Mus musculus: one gene and its partners. The protein of the gene in region 2 purifies or fractionates together with the protein of the main gene of each other region. This does not show direct contact. Links are inferred from orthologs where the notes say so. Each region holds a gene or a part of one and is shown on either strand. Other genes may lie near its edges. The genes, in order: Bckdhb, Ppm1k, Dbt and Bckdha.

The links.
Region 1: the proteins of Ppm1k (region 2) and Bckdhb purify together in Homo sapiens (affinity purification with mass spectrometry; 3 studies listed by BioGRID and IntAct, counting the BioPlex papers as one, with this or other methods). This does not show direct contact. The link is inferred for Mus musculus from reciprocal best matches to the Homo sapiens genes PPM1K and BCKDHB.
Region 3: the proteins of Ppm1k (region 2) and Dbt purify together in Homo sapiens (affinity purification with mass spectrometry; 4 studies listed by BioGRID and IntAct, counting the BioPlex papers as one, with this or other methods). This does not show direct contact. The link is inferred for Mus musculus from reciprocal best matches to the Homo sapiens genes PPM1K and DBT.
Region 4: the proteins of Ppm1k (region 2) and Bckdha purify together in Homo sapiens (affinity purification with mass spectrometry; 4 studies listed by BioGRID and IntAct, counting the BioPlex papers as one, with this or other methods). This does not show direct contact. The link is inferred for Mus musculus from reciprocal best matches to the Homo sapiens genes PPM1K and BCKDHA.

The regions. Positions count from the first base shown.
Region 1 is NC_000075.6:83,922,025-83,928,669, reverse strand, and holds the start of Bckdhb (2-oxoisovalerate dehydrogenase subunit beta, mitochondrial), read right to left. Parts: upstream 3,534-6,645; 5' UTR 3,501-3,533; coding exon 3,311-3,500; intron 1-3,310. UniProt on the Homo sapiens protein: Together with BCKDHA forms the heterotetrameric E1 subunit of the mitochondrial branched-chain alpha-ketoacid dehydrogenase (BCKD) complex.
Region 2 is NC_000072.6:57,531,033-57,537,437, forward strand, and holds the start of Ppm1k (protein phosphatase 1K, mitochondrial precursor), read right to left. Parts: upstream 4,456-6,405; 5' UTR 4,248-4,455; intron 1-4,247. UniProt on the Homo sapiens protein: Serine/threonine-protein phosphatase component of macronutrients metabolism.
Region 3 is NC_000069.6:116,536,097-116,541,946, reverse strand, and holds part of Dbt (lipoamide acyltransferase component of branched-chain alpha-keto acid dehydrogenase complex, mitochondrial), read right to left. Parts: intron 2,859-5,850; coding exon 2,642-2,858; intron 2,293-2,641; coding exon 2,126-2,292; intron 1-2,125. UniProt on the Homo sapiens protein: The branched-chain alpha-keto dehydrogenase complex catalyzes the overall conversion of alpha-keto acids to acyl-CoA and CO(2).
Region 4 is NC_000073.6:25,627,863-25,632,917, reverse strand, and holds the end of Bckdha (2-oxoisovalerate dehydrogenase subunit alpha, mitochondrial), read left to right. Parts: intron 1-1,073; coding exon 1,074-1,280; intron 1,281-1,434; coding exon 1,435-1,576; intron 1,577-1,746; coding exon 1,747-1,918; intron 1,919-2,484; coding exon 2,485-2,655; 3' UTR 2,656-3,066; downstream 3,067-5,055. Other genes in the region: B3gnt8 (UDP-GlcNAc:betaGal beta-1,3-N-acetylglucosaminyltransferase 8), read right to left, coding at 3,602-4,771. UniProt on the Homo sapiens protein: Together with BCKDHB forms the heterotetrameric E1 subunit of the mitochondrial branched-chain alpha-ketoacid dehydrogenase (BCKD) complex.

The DNA of each region.
Region 1 (6,645 bases), on a different chromosome or scaffold from region 2:
AACAGAATTTGAACCAAAGTCAGTGCACCCATCACACTGTGAGGTGCACCTTAGACATGTGTTACTTTCTCTCCCCAAGTTTTGTACTGAATATTAAAGCCTCCATCTTTCATATGTCTTCCTTTTTCACTCCAAATAAACTCACTTCCCAATGCACAAAGAAACATCATGCTTACTAATCCGAGTTTATTCATGCTATTCCTATCCCATAAAAAAGGGGAGCCCCATCAACAAAAGGTCTTCATTTACCCCTGATCATCACGGGACCTGCCTACCCCACTACTAGAAACATCTCAATCGCAGAGGTTTTCTCTGTTGATACAGCACAGAAAGAGCCTACAAAAGGTCTTTTCCTGCCTGAAAAACAATGCTCCCATGGTCTTTGCAAAGATAAGTCCTTGTTCCAGGCCACTGTGCACCTTAAAAGAAGTTGGCCCCAGTCAGCAACTGAAGCAGGACCTTTTCTGTGTGAAATCAAACAGTATGGATGAACGGAAAGCATCTGTAGCACCCATGAAGCACAGAGAATCCGAACCTTCATTAACGGGCGTAAGATGCAAAGTTTTAACACCTAAACCCATTTGTAAGACTTTAAGAGTCGGACACAATGGGACTGGAAGCTGACTCTGCCCTTCGCCACACTTGGGAAGACCACAAGTCTCTCTGTGCCTCCACTGCCTCATCTGTACAGTGAACACAAACACCATCTAACGCACATGATGGTTGTCAAGCTAAGAGACTTCGTGCCTACACCAGCTGAATAAAAAGCAATTGCTCAACAACATAGAACAGTGTTGACATGAACAGGAGACATGACTAAAGGTGCAATTTTCAAAATATATTAAAAAAAGAAAGAAAGAAAGAAAAAAAGCAAATTCAAGTCACAAAAGAACATGAACCAGTGAGCTAATACATGGGAGAGCTTTCCTCAGCAAGACTGAAAGAGCTGCAAACACAAGTGCAGAAGTTAGCACAAAATCCCAAGGCTGTGTGCCTGGGCTTTTCAGCATCATTAGCCCCTAGCACACTCTTACACATTCCTCTTACATATTCTTTTTTTTTTTCTTTTTTTCTTTTTTTTTCTTTTTTTGGTTTTTTTGAGACAGGGTTCATCTGTATAGCCCTGGCTGTCCTGGAACTCACTTTGTAGACCAGGCTGGCCTCCTCGAACTCAGAAATCCACCTGCCTCTGCCTCCCGAGTGCTGGGCTTAAAGGTGTGCACCACCCGGCACTCTTACACATTCTTACACACTCTCACACTTACTACACTGAACACTCTTATACACACTGGGGGTAAACTGGGGATTCAAAGTGGGCATTTAAAAACTCCATTAAACCATTCATGTCTTTGAGTGAGAACTCTAATCTCTAGGGCTCTATCATTGGGGGCAGGAGAGCCACATGCATGAAATGTGTGTGATTTTTCTAATACTGTGAAACTATGACAAATGCATGGTATTGTCTATTGAAAGTTTCCCTTTACTGCGTTATTACTTCCAAGATGGCAAACACTGTGTCATTCATTCATATATATATATATATATATATATATACATAAATTTTATTCAGCCCTCAGCTCTCCTCTCCTTTTGAAATCGCTATTATCATTAATCCCTTAATTACAGAGATGTGAGGCTTGCAGAAGTGAGGACTTCAAAGTCTCAGGGGAACCGGGCGTGGTGGCGCACGCCTTTAATCCCAGCACTCGGGAGGCAGAGGCAGGCGGATTTCTGAGTTCGAGGCCAGCCTGGTGAGTTCCAGGACAGCCAGGATTACACAGAGAAACCCTGTCTCTAAAAAAAAAAAAAAAAAAAAAAAAAAAGTCTCAGGGGATGGGGACAAAACCAAACTCAAGACCCTGACTCTCACTACTGAACTCTACAGATCAACAAAACTCTACAGCAGTACAGGAAGTTATTTTTCTAGTTGATGCAAATTGGACTTGTATTAAAACTACAACTGTGGAAAAGACAGAGCTCTGGAAGAATGAACCTCAAAAGGTTTAGCAGCATCCACCATGAGAGGTGCAATCATGTTGTCACTTTTTTCTAAACTCTGCCTTTTATCTGTAAGATGTTTGTACTGTTTCTATAGTAACAACCTAGAGCCATGACATCACTCGGATTTTAGTAATTTCACAACTGTGGAAAGGAGAATTCGGAAGACCTCTGCTCTATTTCTCCATTACCAGGCCAAAGTTTCTTTGCTGTGAAAACAGTACTGAAGGCTGAGAGGGAAAAACGAACTGCTGTTCATCTTTCTAGTCCTACTATTTCACAAAACTGGGAAACCCCGTCATTGAAATTATTTCTAAAGGCCTCTTTATTGCCTTCCGTGGAGTGGCAAGTCTGGAATCCTGCTTACTAGATTCTGACCATTGGCGCTATGTCTCATGAACTTATGTCCTGTGTACTGTTGAATAATCTGCTTCAAGGCTTCCGTTTATCTAACTGCAAAGCAAACATGAAAACATGACCTACCTCACATGAAATTAAATCTTGTCCTATGAACTAAATGAGATGAGGAATGTAAATTTCACCAATAGCAAGCTTTCGGTTAAATATTCCATTATTGTTCACAAGTAAAGATGGGCTTCCAAAAACTGCCAGCCCCAAGTTATTAGACAAAAAAAAAAAAAAAAACAGTGTAGGTTTTCCTTACTTTCTCCTGGTGCTCTGCAGTTAGACCTAGGATGGAGGGCGACTGCATAAAACTTACAGGAGAAACAGTCAGAGTGAGGCAAAGGTGGCAGGACAGGAGCCTGCCCCATTCCCTTCTGTTCGCTCTTCTCCACCATCTCTATGGAATACTGCTTGGCCAGGTGACAGCGGGGCCCAGCAGGAGCTCTGTATGAGGCTGAAATAGAAGTCTGGATTCTTTCCCATCTTTAGGCAGAACCTGTCTCGTGACCTTGAGAAAATCAAATTCTAGTATTTACTCCCTAGGTTTACATTTTCAAATGAAAATTAAAAGGCAAGTGTTTTACAGACAGTTGCCTCAAGTTAGTGACTCAGTCTAGGACAAGCTAACACCTAAGACCTGATATGGGGAAAGCATGGATAGAACTCAGGGGAAGGGGGCGGGGGAGCGCTCTTTGGACAACTCCTCTACACCCTCAGGCCCTAGCAGAAGGCAGAGTGCCCTCTCACCTATCTTGAAGTTCCAGGGGCTGCATCTGAAGGGAAGAATCACCAAGGACGAGTAACAGGAACGCAAACTGACCCGAACCAAGGAGGCTCTAGAGTAGAGTCTAGAGTCTAGGGCAAGGCAAGGATAGAGCCGGGATGCAGCAAGATCCCCAAATCTCACCATACTGCAGGGACTCTGGGTCCGGATGGAAAGTGAAGTGGGCCACCCGCCGCTTCTGGGCCGTGTCCTCGCCCCCGGGTTGCAGGAAGCCTTGCACCAGCGCAGCGCAGCGCAGTCCGCACCGCCGCCGCTCTGCTCCCGCAGCCCGGAGCCACAGCAGCCCACCCGCGCGCGCAGCCACCGCCGCCATCCCCAGTTCTCAGGCACCGCAGCCCACGCTGCCGGCAGGGAGGGAGGAGCTAAGACGCAGGCTTCCTCATTGGGCAGCCTCGAGGGGCGGGTCCGTGAAAGAGACCAATCGGAGACGGAAGTTCGGGGGCGGGGATGGAGACGCTATGACCTGGCGGCCCGCCCAGACGGAAGCCATACCAAGGCCCCTGCAGCCTGAGATGTGGTCCCTGGGTCCCACCCCAAAATCAGCTGCAGGACTTGGGGTGTCACAACGCGACTGCCTGTGTTCTTTCGCAGTGTCATTTTTGCGGTGCATTTTTCAGTAGCGTTTTCGTTTTAGGCTGTGTTTCTCATAGTCTGTAAGTGCAATATGGTCATTGCAAAGACAGGCGTTGGTTTCGAGTTTCCGAAAAAATCTAGAATTCGGGAAAGGCCTTCACTCTTATTTTGAAATAGTAAATATATTTAAATCTTTAAAATTGATTTTGCTTATCCTGATTTAGATCATATCAAAAAATAGTAAGTAGAGATTTCGGCCTTCAAATCCACTAGGAATTTAAAGTCGAGGTGCAGCAAAAATCACCTAATGGTCTTACTCTGTGTAACTTAGAAATATGCAAGTTGCCGGGCGGTGGTGGTGCACGCCTTTAATCCCAGCACTTGGGAGGCAGAGGCAGGCTGGTCTACAGAGTGAGTTCCAGGACAGCCAGGGCTACACAGAGAAACCCTGTCTCAAAAAACCAAAAAAAAAAAAAAAAGCAAGTTGAATGACTGATTTAAAGTCAAAATAATCAACTTTATAAATTTTATCTTAAAATATTTAAGTGTTTTATATATATCATATATATCACATACATATCAAATATGATATCGCATATATATCATATATATGATATGTGTGTGTGTATTTATTTATCTTCCTTAGCCATGAGTTGGAAGATAGCCATCAAAATAGAATACAACAGAGGCAAGAAAGTATGTCTAGATCTCGAGGAAGGATTCCAGAATGGAGAAAGTATTATGACAGACTGAGAGAACAGAGAGGAAGGAGCCAGGAAGAAACATTCCTCCTGTAGTATTTGTGACCTCTTAACAGATGTTAGGTTTAGCTAAGAAGCACGGGGTAAGAGTAGAAATGGAATTCTACGTATTCAGAAATGCACACAAAGGAGACAGCTTAGACAGTGGCATTCAAATGTGGTAAGAGACTTAGAACAGCATGAAGAGAAACAAGCTCTTGAAGGTCAAAATGCTTCCAGAGGTAAGGCTGACCTGCACCCAGAGGATTAGAGGTTGCCAAAGCAGAGCACAGAGAACCATAGTCTTCCACAACAGGTGAGGTGGGTGCAAAGGCTCATTGTCGTGAAAGAATGAAGTGTCTTCCAGGGCAAGGAAAGAAATGTCTTGTTCCTATGCTGAGAGCCTCTGCCTGCCCCCATCCCCAGCTGCATTGAACTTCGTTTGGGAAACTCTCTTTTCAGGGAGTCAGGCTATCTTTAAATGCCTCTGGGAAGTGCAAAAATTGGAAGTTTTCAGTAATTTGATAATCCCAAAAAAAGATGAAACTGACTACATTTGGAATTTCTGATGGCTGGGTTCCTCATGACACCTTAATATGCTGCAAATGGGCTATCTTCTTTGTTTGAGCCATTTCCACTTGGGTTTCTGACTAATCCCTGGGGACACGGAGAGCCTGTGAAGATGGAGCCAATGGACATCACAGTTGCTCTTCTTTCTTCAGAATGATTCTTGGTTCGTTTTCTCTCACAGAACTTCACTTCAGTCTACTTCTGCTGAGATTCGTCCCTCTTTTGATTCAGTGACTATATGTAAAAAAGTAACACTTTCTTTGCAGATGGATCCAGAGGAATATCACTACCTTCAAGCTAGCGTGCCATACAGAAGAGTAAAATGTTGCTCCGGGGTGGCTAGGAAGTATGCAAATGTGGCCTTCAGAACGAAGAAACTTGGAGACATTTGGCAGTTAATAATGGGTTTGTAACAGGATTTATTGTTTTATACATATGCACTCTTTAAACTCAAGGTTTTAAAAAGACAAGTTAGTCAATGAAAACTGAGTTGAAAGGACTAGGGTATGGCTGAGAGGGTAAAGGAGCTTGCTGCTAATCCTGATAACGTGGGTTTAATACCTAAAGATGACATGTTAGACAAGAAATAACTCCTGAAAGTTGCCCTATGACCTCCACAAGATGTCATCGTACGTATACACACACACACACACACACACACACACACACACACCACACACACACAAAGTGTAAGAAAAAGAAAACTTTGATGGGCAGAGAATTGCTTGTCCTGGTTAGACTTTTTTGTAAATTTGACACAAGCAAGCAGGGTTATGTGGGAAGAGAGGACTTCAACTGAGAAAATGTTTCTGTTAAATTAGATTATACACTAGTCTGTGGGTTATTTTCTTGATTAATGATCGGTGTGACTGGGCACAAAACAGTGTGGGCTGTGCTACCCTTGGGCAAGTGATCCTGCTCGGTATAAGAAGGCAGGCTAAGAAAGCCAGGAGGAGCAAGCCAGTAAGTAGCATTCCTCCATGGCTTCTGCTTCAGTTCCTGTCTTGAGTCCTCATCCTGGTTTCCCTGGATGATGGGATACAAGCTATACACTAAAGTAAAGCCTTTTTTCCACAAGATGCCTTTGGTGATGGTATTTTGTTACAGCAATAGAAACCAAACTAAGACAGAGATATGGCTCATTAAAAAAGCAAAGTAGCAAAGTCACATTGAAAGACAGTTTGGTAGTTTCTTACAAAATTACATTGCTCTTACAACATAATCTATGAGTCATACCTCTTGATATCTTCTCAAGTAACTTAGAAACTCAAGCCAACATTGTGGCTCTTTATTTTTCTTTTGTAGACAGGAACTTCTGTTGACCAGCCTGACCTGGAATTCAGCAAGTAGCCAAAGATAACATTGAACTCAAGTTCTCCCAGCCTCTGCCTACGAAGTACTGGGGTTATAGACATGGGCACTATGTCAGGCTTTGCACAAAATATTGTCTCAGCATTGTTCATGCTTGCCAAGCTCAGAAGCAAACAAACTGAACATCAGTCGGTGAGTACATACGTAAACTGGCTCCTTTGGGCAATGGAATACATCTCAGCAGCAAAAGCAAGTTAAGACAAA
Region 2 (6,405 bases):
AACTTTTTTTTTTTTAAATATTACCCCAAGATACAGCCTTCAGTAAAAGTGTGTGAGATATAGGTGGCAGCAATGAGAAGTTTCAAACTAATGTAACATAGCACGTAATAGTTACTGACAGAAGTAACTGTTAGAGCAGTCGAAAGCAAGTTGAGAGAAAACAGAGATTACCAAAGCGCCCTCTCTGGCTTCAGCCTGAAATCATGTGTACCAAATGTCCTGCTACTTAGCAGAAATGCAGGACAGTAGAGAAATGATTCAAGTTTTACAACAAGACTTCTAGGATACTCTTGCCCTCCTTTTATGTTTCTTTCTAATGCTCAAAAATAAATAACAATTAAATGATAAACACAACTGCAGTCTCAGCGGAGAACAAATATCCACAAGACATATTATTGGATGGTAAGATAAGGTAAAAGTGGAGAGTGTCTTTGAGCCTCTAACATTTATCATCAACTTGACCTTGCTCTATATTATCCACACTGTTACTTTTGAAAGTCAGCAGCAGGGCAGTTATCAATAAACAACTGCTGGAGAGCATTTTGTTGGCAGAGGTTCAGTGTGAGGAGCTATACAGCTGGCTCCTCAGTGATGCAGAACTAGGTCAGTACCACCTACGCAAGGAGATTTATGTGGTTCCCTCTCCTTTGCAGCCACACCACAACTATACCACACTGATCCCTTTCAGAGACCCAAGAAAACTATTCAAAGGCAACTTGTGTTCCCAAGCTACATGAGGACTTTCAATTAAACCTGCTCACAACCCAGAGTTGTAGCTTATTGGTTGAAAACCCTCAATTCAAAAATCTAACCAGTTCCCACCAAACAAAAAACAAAACAGCAAGAGAGAGAGAGAGAGAGAGAGAGAGACAGACAGACAGACAGACAGACAGACAGACAGACAGACAGAGACAGAGAAGCATCGTTACTCCAAACCAAACAAAGGTCTACACTGAGAAAGATTTCTCCTGCTTCAAGTTGAGGAAAAACAAAACACAGCATCATCAGCCTGAGAGGTCTTGGAATGCCAGCAAAAATAGCCATGAACTGAACAGCAGATGAGAGGGGCAGAGTGGAAGTGTGAAAGACCACACTTAGAAAAGAGTGGAGGACAACCTGACAGGGGCCTAAGCAGTCTCTATGTTTATCAGCTCAGTGAGCTTGAGCCAGGATAAGCTTATCAGCTTCTCCACTAAGAAGCAGCTACTTAACAAGGTGTTTATAATCAGGAATGCCACTCTGTGGTTTAGAAATCTAAGCTAACTGATGTTAGTAAACCATTTAAACAATTATATGTAAGCTTTCAAAGTGAAGCATCCGTCATTCCTGATACTACACAAAATATCCCAGGAAACTAATGGAACATGTACAAAGCATATACACAAACAATGCATAAACTTTAAACTATGCCAAGGAAAAAAATAAAGAAAAATAATTTGCCTGGAATCCTAGATATAAAACATAACCAATCTAAAATATATTGGTAATTGTATATAAAAGGAAAAATGGTAATCTTGCCCGAACTATTTCAAATTCTTTCTTATTTCTCAACCAAAACAAAATGTATCACAACTTAACCACATCAGTCTTTTTTTTTAATTTATTTATTATTATAAATAAGTACATTATTGCTGTCTTCAGACACAGCAGAAGAGGGGGTCAGATCTCATTATAGGTGGTTGTGGGCCACCATGTGGTTGCTGAGATTTGAATTCAGGACCTTTAGAAGAGCAGTCAGTGCTCTGACCCACTGAGCCATCTCGCCAACCCCACATCAGTCTTTAAAAATATGTTTGTGTATGTCCAAAAGTAAAAACGCATTCTAGGGGCTGGAGAGATGGCTCAGCGATTAAGAGCACTGACAGCAGTCTTGAGTTCAAATCCTAGCAACCACAAGGTGGCTCACAAACATCTGTGACACCCTTTTCTGTTGTGTCTGAAGAGAGGGACCTTGTACTCACATACATAAAATAAATAAATCTTTTAAAAATATGCATTCTAGATTATGTTCTCTATTATAAATTTCTGAAAATACGCCTTTTCCACCATTTCCTCCTGATTTGTGTGACTATGTCTTTCTCCCCATCTTCCTCCTCAACCTGATACTTTAAAACTGACAAGTTAAGAAGTAAAGAAATAAATAGAATTGCAATGTTAGAACAATGTTATTGCCATATAAGTAATTCCATTTAGCAGAAATTTCAGCCCCAAAAGTTTAAGAAGCTGTGAGATCATCTTCAAGACAGTACTGTGAAACCCACTTTTCCAGAACAACAACTTCAGGCCAAAGGAGTTTGATTCCCAACACTTAGGAGATGGAGGCAGGAGGATCAGGAGTTAATGCCCAGTCTGGACTACTTAACACCCAGTCTCAACTCATGGGCCTTGTGAAGTTTGCCAGTCACCATTTGATTTCATAGCACAAGGACCCACACATGCAGATGCAAGACTACTGCACCAACTTTCCTTTTCATATTTCTCAGATGTTTTACTTGCTCAGCAGTTTAACCCCTGAGCTTTTTCAATTTCATTTTTGGAAAAAGGAGTCCTATCTCGATAGCAGGTTTTGGCACTGGAATCTGAATGTCAAAAACTATTCAAAGGGGAAGTTTATTATTATCACTTTACACAAGAACTCGGCAGGATTAACTGACTGAGGGTTCTGGCAGTCAGCAGAGGGCTTGGAGTTTCCTCCCTCCAGGAAGCTGGTGAGGTAACTAGAAAGTGGCACTTTGGTATTTTTCCATAATGGAAACACAAGATAATTTTTGATATGTATGTATGCATACATACATGTATGTGAGCCCGGGGGAAGTGCAGGCCAGTGCAAGCAGGCAGAGGCCTTTAGTGGTCAAGCAACATCATCGGCCCGATTTTTAACACTCTTAAACTCCAAATTTCTTTACCACCATCAACAACAAAACCCCAGTGCACCCCAATAAACAACTAAAATCATCTGAAAACCTCAGAAATGTATTTTAGGAAATCCGCACTCTTGATGCCTTTATCGCCTTTTAGGAGGAAAGGAAATGTTAGTTTACTGGAGAAAAGAAAACAACAAAACGGTCAATAACTCCCTTCGGTTGTATGTGAGAGTCTGTTTTCATAGGCGAAGTGAGAATACAGTATTGAAAAGTAAGTGTTACTCAACTCTGTGAAGGGGGTGGGTTGATGTAGACAAGGAAAAAGAGACTCGGATTGCAAGAAAAACAATTATAAACAAGAGCCCATTATCCAAAGCTTCCTATTTTATGACATTTGTCATACAGTGTGGTGAGCTGGTTTCCAATTTCCACAAGTTCCAACACACACTAGAAGGGCAACACAGCCCCTTCCGCCAAGCCCTGCAGATCTCGATCTCAAGAGAGCCCCAGGTTTCCTCACCAGGGCACAGGTCCAGCAGAGGCTACATCTGCTCTGCCGGGTTGACATGCACATTGGGGGTTGGGGGCTTCGCAGTTTCTATTCCTGCAGCTCCTACAACGAAAACCGGTGGAGCTTTTGAGAGTCGAAATTTCCTAGCTATTTCTACCCAGAGCCTCAATCTTTGTCTCCTCCGGGTAAATTCTCTCATCTACAGAAAGCGTCTGCGAAAACCTGCGCCAGGAGCCACATGCCCCTAAGATACAGTGCTCTCCTAGCAAAGCAAAACACAAGCTCTCAGATCCAAACGACCAGGGCTCCGCAATCCTTCTCTACACCAGTCCCTTTGCAAGCCTGGGCTGGATAGAATCGTGGGCTGGTTTGCTGGCCTTGAACGAAGCTGGACGCGGCAGGACAACACTCTCCTGAGCTCTTGAGATCTGGCATCCCAAGTTCTTAGGCAGCTATGCCTGCTCTCGCGGGCAGGAGCGCACCAAAGGGTCTCGCTGCAGTGAATCAGGGTTCTGTTATCTTTGCTAGCTTTCTCATTCTCTCCCTGGGACCCCGCCCATCTTTCTATCCCTGCTTCCCTGGGGCTCACTATCAGCCCGAGGTCAAGTTCAAGGCCGACCAAGGCTGCTTTGGGGGAGCCGGATGCTCGGGCGCAGCCACCGTGGGCCTAGGCGAGAGCAGCTGCTTTCCACTTCCAGAAAAAGGGAGCACATCGAACCCAGAGAGATGCGCGTGGGACTCGGTCTCAGACAGAGTAAGCTGCAGGAACTCATTTCATATTTCTCTTTCGCCTTCCCGGGGACCTCCGGAGACCGCCAATGTCTCGTCAACAACCTAGGAGAATAAGCGAATTAAACTCCTTAGGCTCTTACCTTGTGATGGGTAGGTGTCTGTAAATTTCTTAATTGGCTAATGGAAGGAAGGGAAGGATTTCTTGGATGATAAACTAGACTGACTTCTCTGTTGATTATGATCTCCAGAACAAGCAATTAGGGAAGCCACAGTCTCTTCCACTCCTGGAAATTCTCGGAAAATAAAAAAAAATCAACCGCAGCTGGCCAAATGGAGACCCGGAGGAGTGTATTTCCGATGATTGACAGCAACACTAGCCAGTTGGTGCTCTGAAAGACTCTTTGCCCGCCCTCAATCTGAGCCAATTACAGATTTAGATAGGAACGAGCCTCCTGCACAGGCAATTTGACCTCTCAGATTGCCAATTAAACGCCGTAGAGCGACGTCAAAGTGGGCCAGTAGCTGTTCGACGTTGGCGCCCCGCCCTCCTGATGGGCCTGGCGGCCTCGAATCAGGCACCAGGGACCTTGCTTTTCGCCAGCCACTGGAGGAGGGAGTTTCACTTCTGCCAAAGTTATCTTAACTCTGACCCAAGAAATCGAGACTCGGACAGCCACGCTTTGCTTGAGTGTAGCACTTGTACGTCATCCAGTGTTCTTTGACAAATCACAAACCAATGTTCTTCGGACTGCATTAACAGGCATCTTGGGATGGCTCGCGACTATCCTGCATGCCAAAAAGATTTCCGTCTTTTGAAGGAAGCATTGCCTTGGATCTGGGGGTCCAAACTGATTCAAATAATCAGATAACTGCCTTTAGAACCTTCGGTCTAATAAGGAAGATGAGGAAGCAAGCCAACAAATAAACAGTAAAAGACAAATCACGTCTAAAGAGGGAACGGCTCAGGTGTGGCTGGAGAACACTGGGCAGCGGATTTTACCGCGCTGAATCTAGTCAAGGCAGGATGGATCTGAGCAGAAGACAATAGCAGATGCCTTTCAGGCTGTATCAGCACACTCCCGGGCAGGTTTCATGCACAGGAATACTGGTCAACACTAAATTGACTCCATGATTTTTTATGTGTGCGTGTTTTGGTTTTGTTTTGATACTTTTTAAGTCTTTTTAAAAATATTCATTTATTTATTTATTTATACACTGTACACTATAGCGGTCTTCAGACACTCCAGAAAATGGCATCAGATTTCATTACGGATGGTTGTGAGCCACCATGTGGTTGCTGGGGTTTGAACTCGGGACCTTTGGAAGAGCAGTCAGCGCTCTTAACCGCTGAGCCATCTCACCAGCTCCCCCCACCTCCACTTTTTAAGTCTTAATTGGGTTGTTTTTGTTTTGATTTTGGGTTTTTGTTTTTTTGTTTTGTTTTTTGTTTTTGGGTTTTTTTTTTGAGACAGAGAGAGAACATACATAAAGTTGAGTGAGTAGTACGGAAGTGGGGAGGATCTGAAAGGAATTGTGGAAGGGGAAAGAATTGCTCAAAATGCATGTATGGAATAAGTTTTAATTAAAAATATTCTTAAAATTAATAATTAAGTTGTGTTGCCTAGTTGCACCTCCTGGTCCAAGAGCATCTGGAGACCCAGTGCATTTAATAATAATATGTTTCGACAGTGATATTTGTGTTAGTGACTCACTAAATCTAACAATGGCTTATGTTGGATAGAGAATCAATTTTCATAAAGCTCTTGAAATTGTTACCGGATCCAGCATATAGACAGAAAAGTGTGCATATTGAGTGTGGCTCAAGAGATCTTCACAACATACAGCCTGACTTTATATCTAGCACCTGATCAAGAAACAATGTTTTTAGTCCCCAAGGGACCCTTCATCCTGCCGGGCATCCCATTACTGCTTCTGTCCAGGGGCAGCCTCCACGCTGACTTTTAACACAGTAGATTAATTTTGTCTTTACACTTGGTATGTATTAAACCATAACCTACACATACTTTTTGTTTGTTTGGCTTCTCTGGTTCAACAACGTATGTGTAAGATGTATTTTTTCATGTTGCTATCAGAACACATACTACTCTTCCAGAACGCTGTAGTTTGATTCCCAGTTCATGTGTAGGGCAGCTTATAACCTATAACTCTGGGGGTTCAATGCCTCTGGCCTCCAAGGACATCAGCCCTCTTAGGCACATACCTACACACTGACCACACCCATAGACATAATTAAAAATAATGAATCTTTTAAAAAAAAACAAAGAAAATTAATTACTA
Region 3 (5,850 bases), on a different chromosome or scaffold from region 2:
CCAAGGTCAGCAGACTCATACCCAGTTTACCTCATGAGAATCCATAAACAACCGATGCTTTATTCCATTAAATTTGGGAGTAGTTAGTTTGCTATACAGTAATGGAAACCAATTATCTGTCTTCTAAGGAGCTCATGCTATCACCACTTTCCTTGCTAATTCAGGTTCTACCTACTGCTGTAAAGCCCCGAGCTGCCCTCTCATTCACACAACTTTGAGTGACACCTCTATAGGTGATTCTCTACCCCTAACAGAGTCCAGATGCCCTCCCCCCACCTTCATTTGGAGACATCCATGACCTTCCATGCTTAGAGATTATCCATTTGCAGGGCAGATGCTAAAGGAGAACACATTGTGTCTCAGGGGCTCAGTATCTGGAGAAGGGAACCAGGCTAACAACAGCAGCACACTAAAGCGCACCACAGTGGGCAGCAATAGCATGTGGTGACAGTGGGAGCCACAGAGGGATTCTGGAGTCTATATCTGAACGGATCCCATATTTAAAATGCACAGATATTTGAAAGAGGAGGCCAGGAGAGATGGCTCATGCCTGTAATCTCAGTTCAGCACTAGGAAGGCTGGGGCAGGACTGTGAGTTTCAGGCCAGCCTGGGCTAGCTAGTGAAACTGTTGCAAAAAACAACAAACAAAACAAAATAGGGAGAGAAGAGAGAGAAACAGAGAGAGAGACAGAGACAGAGAGACACAGAGAGACAGAGGGAGAGACCTGGTGGATATTTCAGCTCAATGTGATTAAAACAGAGTGGGCAGAGAGTGGTTTTGAGGAGACTGGAGGGGTAGCCAGCAGAGACTTGTAGGCCACACTAAGGACTTGGGAAATCATCCTAAAGGCACTGAAGGGAAACTGCTGAAAGAATCGGGATCCGATTCAATTTGAGTGAAAGATGATTTGTCCTGGCAGACTGTGAAGAAAGGGCGGGAGGAGCCATGTCGAATGAGGAGAGGCCAGAGCAGGACCAGAGCAGACTAGAACGTCCGTGAGAAGACTGTCAGCCACTCTGAGGCCCAGTTTTCTTCAGAGGGAAGTGGAGAATGTACTATCTGCACATCTGGAATACCACTGAGATGTAAGGGATAGCTGTCTGGAGCTTGCTTACCGAAGCCTGACACACGGTAGCTGCTTTGCAGTGGCTGTTAATGTCACTGCCAGTGACCCAGCAGTGCCACACTCAGAAGCCTCCCCGTGGATGTGTTGAAGACATGGAAACGAATACTACTGTTATGTGTGGCCACTTCATGTCTCCTTTCAGCTCAAACTGGAACTTTCCTCTTCCCCTCTCTTTCAGGCTTCCCTCAACTGTCAGCAGGGTTCTCTTCCTAGCTTCAAGTGGGGAGACGGCTCTGTACTTAGGAGCATGCACTACACCTACAGAGGACCCCAGCTGAATGACTCGCCACTGCCTGCTAACTCTGGCTCCAGGAGATCTGACTGTCACCCTCTTTTAGCCTCTGTGGGTACATACATGAACACAAACACACACACACACACACACACACACACACACACACACACAAACAGCCAGGCATTGTGGTATATGTCTTTAATCCCAGCACTTGGGAGGCAGAGGCAGGTTGATGTCTGAGTTTGAAAGCAGTCTACATCATAAGTTCCAAGCCAGCCAGGGATGCAACTCTGCCTCAAACACAAACAAACAAACAAACAAACAAACTCTTGGGCTGGCGAGGTGGTTCAGTGAGCTGAGCGAGGCACTTTTCCTCCTGACAACCCGAGTTCAATCCCTGGGACTCACAAGGTAGAAGAAGAAAACGGACTCCTATAAGTTGTCCCCTTGAGTGCACTTGAGTGCATAAACACACAAGTATACACTCACACACAGCACGCACACTCACACACACTAAATAAATAGGTAAATGTAACTTAAACATAAAATAAATCTTAGAGAAAGAGGTAAGCAGATTAAAAATATAATACAGCTTTCAACTGTATAAATTCCTATGAATCAAAGAGGGTGCGTTTGGACTTTTTTCCCCCCAAGTCTGACGATATGGCATAAAGCAGTACTTTAATTCTAATCTGCTGCATCTTTACAAGACCAAGTGGCACCATCCCCTCTGGGGCCTGGCCTGGGATGAGTGAAACTCACCTTTAAGAAGAAGGGCATGAAGGAGAGTTTGATTCCACGCGCCAAAGCAACAGGTTTCAGCTCTTCTCGAAGCTTAACCAGTTGAGTAAGGTCAATCTCATCACAATACCCGAAGTGGGGAATCTTCAGGGCTGCAGACATGGTCTTCACCATTGCCTTCTGGAAGCCTACAAGAAAGCCAGTCGTTTTATATAAACCTGACAATATTATTTTTCAATACAAAAATAGAAAAACTGTACCATTGTATTATGGTAATTTCATGATGAGTTTGAAATTTTCTGTTAGTGAGAACTGAAAGCCAGGCGTGGTGGTCCGCGCCTTTAATCCCCAGCGTCGGGGAGGCAGAGGCAGGAAGATCTCTGTGAGTACACAGCCAGCCTGGTCTACATATGGAGTTCTAGGGCTACACAGTGAGATCCAGGCTCAAAAGGCAATCAAAAATATCATACGATGAAGATGCGTCTCCTGAGACAATTCCCCAAAGTAAATTACACCGCTTCATATCACTGCTGTTACCTGTCACTGGCTCTGTTCGGTCTTTGCCTGTGAACACTGGAGGCTTTGCTATCGGCGTGGGAAAGGTCCTGTCTTTGGGCTGTGGTGGAGGTGGTGTGATTTCAGATTTTGGTGAGGGAGGCAGTATGGCTCCTGTCTGCTTTTCCAAAAAGCTGAGAATATCTTCTTTAAGTATTCTGCCATCTTTTCCTGAGCCAACAACTTCACTCAGCTTAATCTAAAACAGAATACATTTTGGTGTTAAGAATAAACTTACCATCAACGTTTAAAGATGGAGCAGAAAAGCCAGGCAGTGATGGCACAAGCCTAGTCCCAGCACTCGGGAGGCAGAGGCAGGCGGATGGCTGAGTTCCAGGCCAGCCAGGGCTAAACACACACACACACACACACACACACACACACACACACACATATTCTTAAAAAATAAGAGTAGCCCTGCAGCCCAGGACAGCCAGGGATACACAGGGAAACCCTGTTTTGAAAAACCAATGCACACACACACACACACACACACACATATAATACATATATATATATGTAAACATTTTCCCCAGTAACTTTGTTTGAGGAACATTTTCATCATTTAAGAAACAAGCCTCAGGACCTCTGGGTAAGCAGTTGTTACTTTTACACACTGTTTTACACACAGTTTTACACACAGTTGTTACTTTTACACACTGTTGTTCATTTGTCCATTTAAATCTCCAAAGTCTCTAAATCTCCCCATTATTCTTTGTCTCTTTCTTTGTTTTTCTTTTTTTTTTAAAGTCAGGTCCCTCTGAATAGTCCTAGCTGGTCTGGAACTTACTGTGTAGGTGAGGATGGCCTTGAACTCACAGAGATCCACCTGCCTCTGCCTCCTGAGGTATGGGCCACATCCCCTAGGACCAGAGTTACAGCCAGCTGCTGGCTGACATGTAGGTTCTGTGAATCAACTCCGGGTCCTCTGTGCAGCAAGGCATCTTTACCGTTGAGTCATTTCTGACATTCCTTCTCATATATTCTTATTGCTTATTAGTGAAACTCACTACTTTGTATAGTTAATATATATTGATTTTTTTTTTTTAAGATATGAACGTTATCGGTTGCTGTACTGGGTGGTTTTGTGTGTCAACTTGACACAAGCTGGGGTTATCACAGAGAAAGGAGGCCTCCCTTGAGAAAATGCCTCCATGAGATCCAGCTGTAAGGCATTTTCTCAATTAGTGATCAAGTGGGGAGGGCCCATTGTGGGTGGTGCCGTCACCGGGCTGGTAGTCCTGGGTTCTGTAAGAGAGCAAGCTGAGCAAGCCAGGGGAAGCAAGCCAGTAAGGAACATCCCCCCATGGCCTCTGCATCAGCTCCTGCTTCCTGACCTGCTTGAGTTCCAATCCTGACTTCTTTTGGTGATGAACAGCAGCATGGAAGTGTAAGCTGAATAAACCCTTTCCTCCCCAACTTGCTTCTTGGTCATGATGTTTGTGCAGGAATAGAAGCCCTGACTAAGACAGGAGCCTAGCCCAGTGTCATCACAGAGGTTTCCTCTGGCAATGACAGGAGTGGGTGCAGAGACCACAGCGACACACTAGGTGGAAAGAGAGCCCAAATTGGAGATCTCTACCGGGTTCCTACCCTGGGAACAAGGGGAACCCCACAGAAGATAGAAAGGAAAAGTGTAGGAGCCGGAGGGCTCAGGACACCAGGAGAACACAGCCCACAGAACAAGCAAGCAGGGCTCACAGGAGCCCAGAGACGGAAGCAGCAATCCCATAGCCCGCAAGGTCTGCACTAGCCCTCTGCCTATGATCGGGTTGTAAGCTTGGTATTCCTGTGAGACTCCTAACAGTGGGAATGGGTGTGTCTCTGACTCTTCTCCCCGGCTCCAGGGACTCTTGTCCTCCTCCTACTGTGCTGCCTTGCAGAGCCTTGACGGGAGGGTTTGTCCCCAGGCTTAGGGTGTTTTGTTACACTGTGCTCGGTTGATGTCTCTGAGAGGCCTGCACTTTTCTGAAGGGAAATGAGGAGGAGTGGATCTGGGCAGGGGGTATGGAGGGACAACATTGACTGGGAGGGGAAACTCTGACAGGGATGTACTGAATGAAAAGAATAAGTTAAAAAACAAAAACAAAATCTGAATGTAAAGAGAAGCCACAGAGAAGCCAGCTGTGGTAACCCAGGTTTATAATCGGAAGCAGAGGCATTGTGAATTTAAGGCCAGACTGGGCTACAATAGGAAGTGCCAGTGAGCCTGAGATATATAGCTCCTATTTAAAACCCCTAACACGGGCTGGGGTGTAAATCAGTTTGTGGACCATCTGCTCTTGAGAACACAAGGCAGAACACATCACAGAGTCCTCCCCACAAGCAGAACTGTCCTGGCACTTCCACAGCTCAATTACACATGCGCACAATACAAACTTTTGGGTTTTTTTTTCCCCTCACGGTAACAACTATACTTCTCTCAGAAATTCTCTGCATCACAGCGGAGTGGGAAGAACTCAGCTGTGTAAACAGAACTCGCCTCAGTCTCCCAGGTCGGCCACTTACTTTGGGCTTGGACAAGTTAACACACCTCCCGGTCCTTTCTCACCAGCAACAGTGAGGATCCAAACACCCTGGAGGGCTGTTGTAAACATCTGCGCTATCGTGTCTGGGGCCTGGCACGGAGAAGCTTGAGGTAATGGATGGGAAGGCTGCTGTGCGGCACCAGCGCTTCTGAGGCGACAACAGCCCCTGATAAACTCTGGCCTCACTGCACTGTTGGCTGTGTGACTGCGCTGGCAACCGTCCCACTGTAGGTTTCACAGTAGCTCCTTATCTGTGAGGCTAATTGAGACATCTAAATTCCTATCAGTGTCAGGGAGCCATGCTGCCAGGCCTGTTAGCCACCACACAGCACAGAAAAGGCTGCAGTTTGGATCTGGAATGTCTGTGTTCCAGGTTTGTGCTCAGCAGAATACGGTGGGGATTGCCTATAATTCCAGCGCTCTGAAGACTGAGGTAGAGGAGTAGAGATTATGAGGATAGCCTGGGCTATATAATGATTTGAGGCCAGCTTGGACCACATAATGAGATCCTATTTCTTTCTTTCTTTTTTTTTTTAAAGCATGCATACATAAACATAAAAAATAAATAAAATAAAGGACTGGTTTAATTTAGTGGAGGTGGGACAATGTGGAAACTTTGAGTTGGAGTCTACGGGGAGATTTTCCAGTTACTATGGGTGTGTC
Region 4 (5,055 bases), on a different chromosome or scaffold from region 2:
ACATTGAAGCTGAAGAAGGAAGTGACTTACTAGGGACTTGTGGTAGGGAGGAGGGCAGGAACTTACTCATGGGTACTCGTGACTGCAGAGACCACGGTCTACCCTGCCCTGGCTAGCCTGGACCTCAAGTGGACTTCCCAGAGCTGGGGTGCCCTGAGGCTCCTGTATGCTACCGAGACTGCCAGGGTGCTGGGCCTGTGCCCACACAGCACACAGACCAAGGATTGGCTCTCTTATGGCCTCCTGGGCCCAGAATCTGATAGGAGGCGTGTGTCTCGGTGTAGCCCTGCTGTTGAACCAGTCTGGGTGTGTGGCTTGTGTGGCTTGTGTGTCTGCAGACCTCCTGGGAGAATGTGGGAAGCAGAGCTGTTTATTATGGTGCACCAGAGTCCCTTATTCAGCAAATGTATGCCAGGTGTCACCCTAGGCTTTCTGAATAAGACAAATGTCAACCCTGTTCATACTGATGCTGTCTTGAGGGAGAGGGGGCATCAGGGAAGAGTGTGAAGAGATGGTACCTGGAGTGCTTCGTGCAGGTGACAGGAAAGGCAGCACAGAGCCATGTCGAGGGGGCAGTAGCAGGGGCATCACAAGTGATTGAAAGGCAGACTGGAAGTCGTGTGGAAGGGAGCTGTGTGGGCACCTTGAGGCAATCGTGTGTTTAGTTGTGACTAGACCAGGGGACTAAGGGTGGGGAGTACTGAGCACTCGGGGCTTAGTGGCCTTTCCTATTGCAAGGACTTGGCCCACAGTGGCCTGAGAGCCCAGAGTTAGGAAGGAGTCTGCCAGACTCACACTTAAGAGTCCCCTGGCTGCGGCTTGGCCTTGGTGTGGAAGGTCCAGATCTGGCTATCCTCTGAAGGTGGCTGGCATACATGTAAGCGTGACAGACAGGAGTCAGGGGTCACACCCTAGGTACCTGGAGACAACTTTCCGAGCCTGAGTCTGCGTGCGTGTGTGGTGTGTGTGTGTGTGTGTGAGAGAGAGAGACAGAGACAGAGACAGAGAGGGAGGGAAGGAGGGAGGGGCAGGCTTATTCCTACTCACACGCTCTCATCTGTGTCCCTGTGCAGCGGTAGGGGCAGCCTATGCTGCCAAGCGGGCCAATGCCAACCGGATTGTGATCTGTTACTTTGGCGAGGGGGCAGCCAGTGAAGGGGATGCCCACGCCGGTTTCAATTTCGCTGCCACCCTGGAGTGTCCCATCATCTTCTTCTGCCGGAACAATGGCTATGCCATCTCCACACCAACCTCTGAGCAGTACCGTGGGGATGGCATAGGTAAGGGCCTTTCTCTTGCTGCCCTCCTTCCTGTTCTCTCCCTGATGGTGTCTGACAGTAAGGGCACAGGGGGCAATGAGCAGAGCACACCCTTCACTCTCCTCTTCCCCTTTCTTCTCCCTGAGGCCTGACTGGCATCCTCTCTGTCCTGCAGCGGCTCGGGGCCCTGGGTACGGCATCATGTCAATCCGTGTGGACGGCAACGATGTGTTTGCTGTGTACAATGCCACTAAGGAGGCCCGACGGCGGGCTGTGGCTGAGAACCAGCCCTTCCTCATTGAGGCCATGACCTACAGGTGCCTGTCTCCCTTCCACCCCTGCAGCTCACAGGTCTGACAAGCTCTGTCAGCACCCCCCCACGTGTGGCCTGGTCACCCCATGTGCACTCCCTTCCTTGTGCCACATCACTCCTGTGTCCTTTTCTGACACCCCGCCCCCGGCTGATCCACAATCCTCCCCTGAGCAGGATTGGCCACCACAGCACCAGTGACGACAGCTCAGCGTACCGTTCGGTGGACGAGGTCAATTACTGGGACAAGCAGGACCACCCAATCTCGAGGCTGAGGCAGTACCTGCTGAACCAGGGTTGGTGGGATGAGGAACAGGAGAAGGCCTGGCGGAAGCAGTCACGAAAGAAGGTGAGGGCCCATTGGAGCCCCAGGGTGTGCTCCCGATGGCTCTGCACAGCGAGAACTCTGGGAGAACAGGAATAGAGGACCTGGGTATATTCACACTGACCCAGGCAAGCCTTGTCCTCATGCGTGGCTCATAGAGCCAAGCCACCTGGACCATATGGCCTCAGTGACTCTTCACAGTGGAACCCAGGGCTAGTCATGTTCCTGGGGTATCTACTTCATAACTCAGTCCATGTAAAGTGGTATGTCCTACCTGGGCTAGAGCTAATGTCACCCTCTGTGCACTTAGAACAGGCCTGTTCTGGCCTCATACTGCACCGTGGTCACTAGCTCAGCTCTGACTCCGTCGCCCTGAGGAATCCTTTCCTTTCTCTGCATCTTGCCCTCCACTCCTGTTCCCTCCATTGCAGAGCTGAGCTGACAGTGCAGGGCCAGGACCCTGCAGGCTAGGCTCTGGAATGTTCATTAACACCAGTCTGAGGCCTCAGAGGGGTGAGGCTGGACCGTGGCTTGTGGTTGGGAGAGGGCAGGATGAAGGGGACAGCCACTTACTCCCTCATGTCTCCCAGGTCATGGAAGCCTTTGAGCAGGCTGAGCGGAAGCTAAAGCCGAACCCAAGCCTCCTCTTCTCCGATGTGTACCAGGAGATGCCCGCCCAGCTCCGCAGGCAGCAGGAGTCGCTGGCACGGCACCTGCAGACTTACGGGGAGCACTACCCCCTGGACCACTTTGACAAGTGAGGCCCTAGCCAGCACAAGGGGGTCCTGCTCTGAGTGGATGCTGCCCCCTGTGCTAGTCAGCTGTGCGAACATGCTGAGCAGCCAGGGTGGCATTCCAGGGTGACTTTTGCTCCTGTTCCTGCTCCCCCAGGCTACTTCACTGGGGCACCATGTTTGCAGCCATTGCTGCGGCTACTTCACTCCCTTCACCTGTTACAGTGCCTTTTAGGGGTGGGAAGGGACCAGGGCCAGGGAAGACCCTCTGGGCAGGGTGGCCCTGGGCTTGCCCAGAGAGATAGCTGATTGGCAGAGTAAGTAAACCACAGGTCTGCCTTTGACTCTGCTTCCTTCGTCTCTGTTTCCTCAAGTTTGGGGGCTGGGGTGTGTATGTGGAGAGGAGGAGAGAGCCCAGCATGGCTGATTTGGTTTGGAGTGCTGTTGTGTGTTTGTGTATCTACACAGTAACTTACTGGGACTTATGATATTGCTTTAGCTTCTAGTTCTGGGACTATATCGTATATAGCACCACACCAGCCTTTGGGGACATCCTGGCTTCTTAGGCAGAAAGACTTGGAAATACCTACTTCTATAAATGTTCCCAGGCTAGAGGGCAGCCTTGGCATGTATGTGGCCCCTCCAGAGAAAGCCCTCCATGACCTGGTAGATGCATGATGTCCAATGAGGTGTCCAGGATGCCCCCTGGAACCTGCCAGGCTAGGCTGGGTGAGGGCAGAGGGGCAGCAGCATCTGCCTTCCCTGCAGGGGTCCCATGGAAGAAATCGCTCCTGGCCTTGGAGTAGGAAGGACACATTTTTCAAAACCATAAAGTAGATAAACACAGTCTGCCACCTTGGCTAAGAAGGGTTTAGGAGAGACTCAGGCCAGGTCAGCCCCACCCACCCCAGCTTGTCTCTAGGAGAGACTCAGGCCAGGTCAGCACCCACCCACCCCAGCTTGTCTCTGCCGGTCAGCACTGGAGCTCTGGGACCCACAGATGTCTCCAGAGCCAAATGGTGTCCTGAGGGCTGACTGGATGCACCAAGAGCAGGCCTCGCACGGCGCAGGGGTCCCTGGTACGTTCTGCTGGCCAGGCTGTGAGGAAGCCTGGATGGGCACGGGGTGCTAAGCCCAGGGCACGGAAGCAGAAGCCAGTGTAGACATCATCAAAGGGGAAGGGTGCCACGCGAGCTGCCGCCTGCAGCAGCCAGGGTGCCAGGCGTCCTGAGATTACATAGCCACCTCCACTCGCATAGGCTGGATAGTCCCCTTCAAAGAAGGTCTTCGGCACATAGAAGGGTCCTCCGGGCTTGCGGAGCGGTTTGGCCTGGGTGAAGATCTCACCCAGGTAGAGGCTGCGGGCCCAGGTGGGTGGCAGAGTCTGCAGGTGCTCCAGTAGGGCTGGGATGTGCACAAAGGCATCATCCTGAACCTGCAGGACAAAATTGACATCGGGGCAGTGGTGGCTCAGCCAGGTCAGCAGCAGCAGGTCCTTGAGTGTCCGGTTGTAGGGAACATCCAGGAAGTCCCAGAGCAGTAGGTCACCATAGCGCCGGCTTTCCCACGTCACCAGTGATCTTAAGTCAGGCCCCCCCATTCCTAGGGGGGACCCCAGCAGGAAGAGCAACCGGGTCCCAGCAACTGGGCTGCCCCAGGTCTCCCTCACAGCCTGCCGTGCTGCAAAGTGTCCTGGTTCTGATTTGACAGCCAGTAGCAAGTAGGGTACATCCTTATCAGAGCAGCTGGCCACAGGGCTGCCTTCTCCTGCAGGCAGCCATAGTGGAAAGCTCCTACAGGCCGCCGACAGCAAGAAGCGCCGAAGCTCCTGGGGGTACAGGATGAAGTCCAAGATCTCCGAGGCAGCAACAGTCCCCCAAGTCTGACAGTCCGTACTGGGCAGGACTCCCAGCTGCCGCTGCTGCTGGTTCCAGTAAGCAGAGGACAGTGGGCCAGTCTGACCCAGGCGTGCTGAGAGGTTGGTGGGCAGAGTGGGCTCAGCATTGGGTGGTGTGGGACTGGGCAGAGCGCCCCGGGGTTCAGCCTTTTTAAGCCAGGACTCGGATGTCCACTCGATGTATACTTTGAGGCCCAGGAGTGTGAGCAGTGCTGACAGGCAGAGCTGGCACTTGCGGCAACGCATGACCCGGCCCAGGGAAAGGGCCACCAGTGGGGCTGCAAGAGTCACAAGGAGCCACAGAAGTCTTTAGGGTGCAGGGTGGATCTCCAAAGACGGCCCAGCGAAGCCCAGGCAAGCAGCCTAGGTCCTACCCAGTTCTGTTAATGGCTTCTGAGACTCTGACCCTAGGCAGACTGAACTACAGTACCCAACTTAACGTTATCCTAGACTGAACACCGCCTCCCCTCGACCCCCCATTCTTTCCTTTTCTGCAGTCATGGTGTTATATCTATTTGCAGTATCGCTCC